Oryzias latipes: one gene and its partner. The protein of the gene in region 2 interacts with the protein of the main gene of each other region in a pairwise test. Links are inferred from orthologs where the notes say so. Each region holds a gene or a part of one and is shown on either strand. Other genes may lie near its edges. The genes, in order: tmem30a and atp10b.

What was found.
Region 1: the proteins of atp10b (region 2) and tmem30a interact in a protein complementation assay, tested with the Homo sapiens proteins (2 studies listed by IntAct, with this or other methods). The link is inferred for Oryzias latipes from reciprocal best matches to the Homo sapiens genes ATP10B and TMEM30A.

The regions. Positions count from the first base shown.
Region 1 is NC_019880.2:15,986,491-15,991,014, forward strand, and holds the start of tmem30a (cell cycle control protein 50A), read right to left. Parts: upstream 2,915-4,524; 5' UTR 2,688-2,914; coding exon 2,439-2,687; intron 1,872-2,438; coding exon 1,752-1,871; intron 1-1,751. UniProt on the Homo sapiens protein: Accessory component of a P4-ATPase flippase complex which catalyzes the hydrolysis of ATP coupled to the transport of aminophospholipids from the outer to the inner leaflet of various membranes and ensures the maintenance of asymmetric distribution of phospholipids.
Region 2 is NC_019868.2:17,520,750-17,524,573, forward strand, and holds part of atp10b (probable phospholipid-transporting ATPase VB), read right to left. Parts: intron 3,754-3,824; coding exon 3,627-3,753; intron 2,339-3,626; coding exon 2,154-2,338; intron 1-2,153. UniProt on the Homo sapiens protein: Catalytic component of a P4-ATPase flippase complex, which catalyzes the hydrolysis of ATP coupled to the transport of glucosylceramide (GlcCer) from the outer to the inner leaflet of lysosome membranes.

The DNA of each region.
Region 1 (4,524 bases), on a different chromosome or scaffold from region 2:
AGCCTCTCCTAACCCTGGCTTCTTCCAGCTCCGTTCTTCAACAGATAAAGCACTGACCACACGGATTTCAATTAAAATGAGCGAACAGGGGCTTCATAATAACCGTAATATTAATGAAAGCATGTTTAGAAGATCATCTAGTACATTACGGAGCTGCCAGATATCTATGTATGTAGCCTCTCAGCGGAACTCATTTCCTTTTCCAGCATTTCAAACACTACTGCACATGTGCGAAGGATTTATTCTGACCTAAAGTGTGACCATTAATGTTTGTTATAATCAGAAAGGTTATTCTGGGCCCACGTACACGGTTGAAGTCTAATCCGACCATTGATCCGATCAAGATATTTTGCACATGTAACCGCGGCTTTTGCCGTCGACTTGCAGCGTGGCGGAGGCGTGGCATCATGGTGTCTCTCCATCGTGATGTCAGTCAGCCATCACGATGGTATCGTGTCCAAAGGGCTCTTTTAGCGATAAAGTTCACAAAGATTTGAATAAAGAAATACTCCAAAATGCAATTTTGAACTTAATTTTCTTAATACCTGTCCTCCAAATACATGTTAAAGATGAAAACAACTTTCAGAGTGAATCTTTACAGACTTTCCACAGCCACGTAAACTATCCTATAAAGTACAACAGCAGGGCCCGCTGGAGACCGCACTGCCTGAAAGTACAGCACTCAGAAAAGAGGAGAGAATCTGTCGATGGCCTTTTGGCACTCCACCGCTCTCCTGTCCGCTGCAGAGCATGCTCCGCTAAGAGGCATCAGCTCTGCTCAGGCAGCCATTAAAAGGCCACAAAGAATCCCAACCACTTCAATAACTGGCAGACGGTACAGAAATAAAGACAATTAGATGATCAAAGCACAGGATTTTTTTTAGCTTTATGTTTAGAAAGGAAACAGCTGACTCATTTTAATTCATCTTAATTACAACACCGCACAGATTTGACTTGGAATATGTACACTTTTGTGCCCCCCCCCCCACTCCCAATAACTGTTTACTGCACTGAAATATAGATAAAAATATAGATAAATATAAATAAAATATAGATAAATATAGATCTTGTTGAGTAGAAATGTCTTTTGTAAAACTAGAAGAAGAAAAAAGTCAATCACTTCCTTAGCTGTCAGATTTTTTTTGTTCCACTTGTTTTGCAAAAGCAAATAGATGCAAAAAATGCTGACATGCAAATACATGACAACTCTGCAGGAGTTGTGTCAATGAGCTGCTGTTTAAAAACAGGAAGAAGATGTCTTGAAAAGTTAAAAAAAAGGAGCATTTTGATCATTAAAAATATATATTTCATTTTATTAACTATTATTATAATAAATTATTTTAGCAAAAAGTTATAGAAAAAGGTCTTCCACACACTTTTTTTCCTGATTCACCGCAGACAGCGGTCAATGCTAAGCTAATTTCAAATGATTTGGGCTTTTATTTTCACAGCAAAAAAAAAAAAAAAAAAAGAATGGTTTCCAAAGTGTATTTATTTGAGTGCATCTTCCTGGCAGGTGTAAAAAAAAATCAAACAGCTTTAAAGCTTTTTTTGAAAGATCAATAGAGATTTGCTAAAAACCCAGAATGCATAATTTATAAGAACATCATTCAACGACAACCTTCTAGTTTGGACCTTAAATAGATCCAAATGGGTACTTTGTGTCTGGGACACACGGTGATACGGCTGAAGACATGAATAATTCATTTGATGAATAAAGCTCATTTAGTAACAAAATAACCAGAACTAACCTCAAAGGGTTGGTCCAAAGTGAAGTTCACAGAACAGACGCATGATGTTGTGCTGTTCCAGCTGAAGTTCTTAGCACATATGTAACATGGACTATCAATCTCGACACCAGTGTAGTCAATCTAAACAAAAACAAGAGAACAATCTTTAATGACAAGACAAGAGAACAAAATTGTGCTGGAACTTTTAATAGACTTCTTATCAAGCACATAGCATGTTTCAGTCATGACTGTCAAGAATCCATTGGGACACAATGTGATTGATGTAATCAAAACATATTACATTTTACACACATTATAATATATATATATATATATATATATATATATATATATATATAGACACCTACGTGTCAATTAACCTCCTTTTTTCAACAGTCTATAAGCCTTTTATACCACTGCATACTTGAACACTTCCACATTACTGGATACAAAGTTACCCACAATGCATTGCAAAATATCAAGACAGCAGAAGCTCACCAAAATAATTTATGTTTATGACCCCAAATTGTTCAAATAATGTGAATGTGAGGTTTTTTTTTTACTTTAAAAACAAATGTGACAACATTTAATTAATGCGACACAATTAGCTGCTCTTCTTTGAAAGTGTTGACAGCTGAAGTACTGGTTGCATTTGGAATGATTGACATGTAGATCTTTTAACGATCCAACTCGACTAGGAAACGGTACCTCGAACTCTTTGATGTTGTTTGAAGTCACAAACAGCCCGATGCCGATGGGGATGAAGATGAGGCCGATGACGAAGAACGCCGGCAGTACGGTGCCCGCCGTCAGAATCGGCTGCCAAGCGGGTAGCCTTTGCTGTTTGAATGCTGTATTGTCCGGTTTTTTGCTTTTGATTGCTCCTGGTCCACCGTGACTCGAAGAGCCAGAGTGGTGGCCGTCCTCTTCCTTAGCGTTGTAGCTTGACGCCATCATGGTTCGCTAACCGCTTCGAGCAAAACAATCCCGACACTTGGCAGCTGGGAGCTAGGCGGGGATCTCGGACGCGAAGAAAAAAGTGGAACAAGAACCTAAGAAGTCTTCCGGTAACTGAACTTATCCCCCCGTCTAGTCAAAGTGCCGACTCATATTTGTATCGATCTGACAACTTTCGTTAATCCTGGCTGGGAAGAAACCGGAAGCTGCTGGCCCAATAGAACGGCGCTACGTGGCAGTGACGTCACCGGAGAATGTTTGGTGTAGCCGAGAGGAGCACTCTAGAGCAGGGGTGTCAAACTCAATGAGTTATAACGCTAGAGGAGACACGCCCGCTTGGGAAGCCTGGCCGACGGTGGTGGAGCGCGACGCCATCTTGGTGAGGTCGACGGCGCCCACATTCTATAGCCTTTGGTGGCATCTAAGTAGCTTATATATAATTTATATATATATTTATGTTTATATATATTTATACATTTATATAAATATATAATATATATGTATATCATTTATATACATACATAAAATAATTTGTTGTTGTTAAATAAGAGAAACAGGCAGCATTAAAAGCTCAAACTTTAATGAAAAATGCACAGTAGCAGGACTTCTTACAAAAAACAATTACAAAGAATTTTTAAAAATAATTTTAAAGCATGTACTAGAAGTTTTAGACCTCTTTGACATGTAATTTTCAATTCTTTAGAAAAGCCCAACAATAAGTCAATAATAATAATAAATAATAACAGTATATTCATAATAAGTCAATAATTATAATAATAATAATAATAAATCAATTATAAATAATAATAAATTAATCCTGCATGGTTTCTTTTTCATTCTGAAACATTCCTGGGAAACAGCAGCTGGTCTTGGAGGATTGGTGACCTCTTTTGCTTCAGGCTGTAGGTGGACCTCCACTGCTGGTGGCTCTTCAGGGTTGGTGGTGTGAGTGTCAGCAGTGGGCTGCACCCTCCCCATCGTGAAGAATGGATGTTGTAGTGCTTCACTTGGAGAGATGCGTTTGCTTGGATCCACCATTAGCATCCGCTTGAGCAGGTCCACTAACTGTTCCACTTCTTTGATTTTTGTTTTGTCCAAACAGCTGTGGATGAGTTGGTCACAGGACAAGAACTGAATGTCGTCTTCGACCAGTCTCCCTTTTTTCCTGCTTTGCTGTTGGGGTGTGTCCAGCTTCCAGACATCCTGAGAGTTTTCTTTGGTCTTGGTAAAAAACCTTGTGGTGTAAAACCCTTGGTTTAGAACTTTTTCCTCGGGCATGCCTTGCATCTTCACCATGGCTCGGATGATGTTATAATCGGTGTCCCATCCATAAATAAAGGTCCCCGTGTACAGCACAAAGAGAATGTAGCCAACTGTCCACAAATCTACATGTTGGTCTAAGGGCAGACCCAGGATGACTTCAGTTGCCCTGTAGCAAATGTTCTGTATCGTAGCTCCACTACGCATATGTCTAATTTTCTCTGCCAAACCAAAATCTATGAGTTTGACCCTGAAAGGGTCTGAAACTTGATCCACCAGCATGATGTTCAATCAATCAATCAATCAATCAATCAATCAATCTTTATTTATATAGCACTTTAACATCTGCCAGACATCCAAAGTGCTGCACAAGTATAAATACACTAAAACCAAAGGTAAAATTCAAAGAAGCAAAGTAAAACGATAGCAATAAAATCATCAATAAATGAAAACACTAAAAAAAAAAGCTGCCTAATTATCATTCTCCCTGGTGTTAAAAGCTAATGTAAAAAGATGAGTTTTTGGCAGAGATTTAAATTCATTTAAGGATCAGGCAGATCTCACTGACAGGGGAAGA
Region 2 (3,824 bases):
TTCAATAAAACTTTTACAATTAGGTTTCTAAAATATACTTTTTGAAGTAACACAACAAACGTTTGTCCCCCCTAAAGTTAAAGAAAACTTCCAAGATGTTCCACTTTTAGTTTTAATGTTGAAACCTAAAATAAGATGTAAAAAATCTGTTTTTTCCCCCCAGTAATAAGTAATGTGAACTTTATAAATAAATTTGCACAAGAGTGTAAGAAAGAACTTCTTTTATATAGCACTTCCCTCAGAAAGCAACTTACAAGGTGCTTCACAATGTTAAAACAAAATGAAACCAAAGAAAAAACACAAAATAGCACGGGATGCCTAAAGCAGGTAAAACCTAATAAAACATACTCAGTAAAAAAAAAAAAAAAATCAGCTAAAAGTTCTTCTTAATAAAAAAATGTTATGATAAAATGTAAAAGTTCAATATTTGCATCTTTTTTTTGTCTTGCAGGTCTAAGAGTCCAAAGATTTCTCTATCTTTTGCAGAAGCAGGCCCATCAGATTTATTGTTGATGCTAAACGGCTTCAAACTGGGTTACAAGGAAATTAAATTGAAAAAAAGGAAGATCCATGTTTATACTTTCTCCTACAAGCAGCTCAGTCCTGGCTAAATTTCATTACACTTAGTGGGGCAGTGCTTATAAGTAAATGTCACAAGTGGTTATCAGCTAAGGTTGTTAAAAATCCTGTTCATTAAAGTAAATTTCCTGTGAGATCTAAATATTACACTGGTAATTAGATATGAAAGCACTAGTTATTGGGTTGGGGGCATCTAACTCCATTCATCATCAGTCACTGTGCCTCTAAAGGATGCGCAGCGGCCCCCTCATTTCAAAAACTTATTGGGGTATCCGTCAGAGCTGGCAGCCATTTGACGTCAGGATGAGTAGACACAGTCGGGTTTTTATGAAAACCTTGCTCCGGCGCTACCAGATCTTTAATGACCTCAGAGAGGCAGGTCCCCCAACGAACATTTTTCATCTTCCCCTGATGGAAATGTGAGCGTTTGACCTTTAGTTAAATTGTGAAAAGTGGTTCGAAAGGTTTCAGTCCTTTAAATTAGAAGGTAGATGCTCGGAAAGCACACCGCTTTTCACCAAAGACCACCAGGAAAAGACAGCATTGCTTTCTTAAATGAGAAGACATAGAAGTGACATTTCAACTATTTTCATTTACGGTAATGTCTTCAAAAAGGCTAAACTCTGACTTAATTTTCAACTTTTCTATGGTGACAGTTTCTAAATGTGTTTGCTGTTTTTTGTTTGAAATTAGTTCAAGCTATTTCGCAAAATAGAATCAATTCACATGTAATTTTAACTAAATTCTTGATCAATCTTTGGCCAAAATCAAATCTTATAGGAGAAATATTTTTGTAGCATTACTTATTATTTGGTTTGTTATTTTAGCCTTGATCATGAATATTTTAACATCTTTTAATGAGTCTTTTCAGTTGCTAATCAGAGCTTTCCTTTTTCACAAATATTATAAAATATTCCCGTCTTTAATTGGATGTTAGATTTCATTTATTGTTTTTTGAATGCAAATCCAGAAGGAGAAAACCTGACAGAAACAAGTTTCAATTCCCCTAACTTGTACTTGTCAGTTTTCTTGGTGTGTTTCCAGAGTTAAAGTAACACTTTCCATTCAAATAACGGTTATATTTTAATTGATTTTTTTTTTTTTAATTGAGCATCCATGTGACCAACAATACATTGACTGTCCATGTAAGGATATGTTGAACCCCAAATCCACTTTTAGTCCAATTATTAGTTTTTAAATTTTTTTTTTTTTAATCTTTTCACAAAACTGAATAAAAAGAAAGATGATCTGTGTTTTGTAAAAATACCTTAAAAGATAATTCAAAGAATCCTTAAATGTTAGGAACATATGTCACATCTGCCTTGTTAAGGATCTGCAGTCAGTAATCTCAGCAGAGAGATGATTTGCATTGGTTTGGTTCTGAGCAAAACAGATGAGCTTCTTTTTTAGGTTTTATATTGTTTCACCATATTAGGACAGGAGAGCTTGAGTAGTCTTCACTTGAAGGTAAAATCCAACTCCCCTTTAGCCCACATTCAGTACTTCAAGACTGGAAAAGTTTCTCCTTTTTTTGTTAAAACACACCATGCCCAACAATAAGTGAGCGTCCCCACCTTGTTTTTGCAGCTCATGTTAATCACCAGGTCTCCCTCCTCCATTAACCTGCAGGCGTAGCCGATGTTGAGAGCAGTCTCTGGCTTGTCACCTGTCAGCACCCACACTTTGATCCCTGCTTCCCGCAGAGCTGTGATGGTGTCTGGGACGCTTTCTTGCAGGCGATCCTCGATACCTGTTGCTCCTGATGAAGGTGAAAAATCCCATTTTATTTCCTCAATAAGGTCATTTAATGGAACATAGTAAACTTGTATTTGTAGGATGTTAAAATGGAGCACAATCCGGTTTTTAACAAGTTTGAAAAGTAAAATCTTGGACAACCAAAATTACTGGAAATCGTCATGTGCAAAACCGTTTTCTGTGAACTAATCAGATTTATATGCTGCATTTGCTTGAAGCTAAACCTGGTGAGACTTTGTTTAGGTTCAGATGCAGCACTGCATACATAATCATCACTGCAATGTTCTATTTTTAAAGACTGAGTCTTTGTATTGTCAATTTATCGAAACAAGAGGTGGTTGCTTGTTTTAACGTTCCTTCTGTGGAGGTTAAGGTTCTAAGAGTTATCTGAAGCTTTAACTAATCTTTAGGTTTCAGAAGTAGTTTTGTTGGCTAGGTAGAGCAGTGGTTTCGCCTTGGAGAAGTCCCTTGTTGAATCCCAGCCGTTGCCTTTCTGTGTGGAGTTTGCACGTTCTCCCTGTGCATGCGTGGGTTTTCTCCAAACACTAAGGCTTTGTAGATTAATTGGTGACTCTAAATTGCCCCTAGATGTGTTTGTGATAGTGTGACCCTGCAATAGACTGGCAACTTGGTCACAGCGTACCCTCCTTTCGCCCAACAGTAACCAGCAAGCATGTGTCTTCAAAAGGGATTCAGCCTGATCTGAAGATGGACGAATGGATAGATTACAAATGGATGGATGGATGGATGGAGGTAGCTTTGTTTTAACTTCTCTGAATATGGTTTGTTCTGAGTCATTTTGCAGGGCTGCTCAAAGCTGGTCTTTAACAGTTTTTTTTAATCATGAAATCTTTCATGAAAAAAAGGATATTTGAACAGTTCAGAAGTTTTTTCATGATTCTTTCTGAATTGATGTGCAGCATCTTTTCTTGATGGAATTGAGTTAATGCAAAACTTTAAAGCTCCAAAACAACAAAGTATCTGCCAATTTCGATCTCTTGTAAAAGTGTCCCTAGTGGTCTTTTAAATTTAGTTATGCCATTTTTAGCCAAAATTTTAAAAAACTGTCATTTTCTAGGACATAGTTTCGAAATTCACCTCAGAGTTGTTGACGGGACTGTTTGTGCAGAGTTAAACCGCCCCGCTTTCCCTTTATCCATCTGTTAATCATCATGTTAAAAACAGCAAAAGCACAATTTTCTTCAAAGTGGGTATTTAAACCTAAAGAAGGTTTACTTTGTGTGTCCTGGTTGCAGAGTTAGTTGTGTTGGGGAAAAAAGTGTCTGATTTACCTAGCAGGGTGAGTTCTGTCTCCAACTGCACAGCACTGGCCATCATAAGCTCCTCTCTGCCGTCTATAGCTGCAAGAGCTCTCTTTCTGTCTGCCAACCAGCTTTGATACTCTCTGCTGCTTACAATCTGCAACACAGGTGGAAAAAAATGAATCACAACACAAGCCCAAATAAAAGAAATATGCTGTTCAGCTTTAT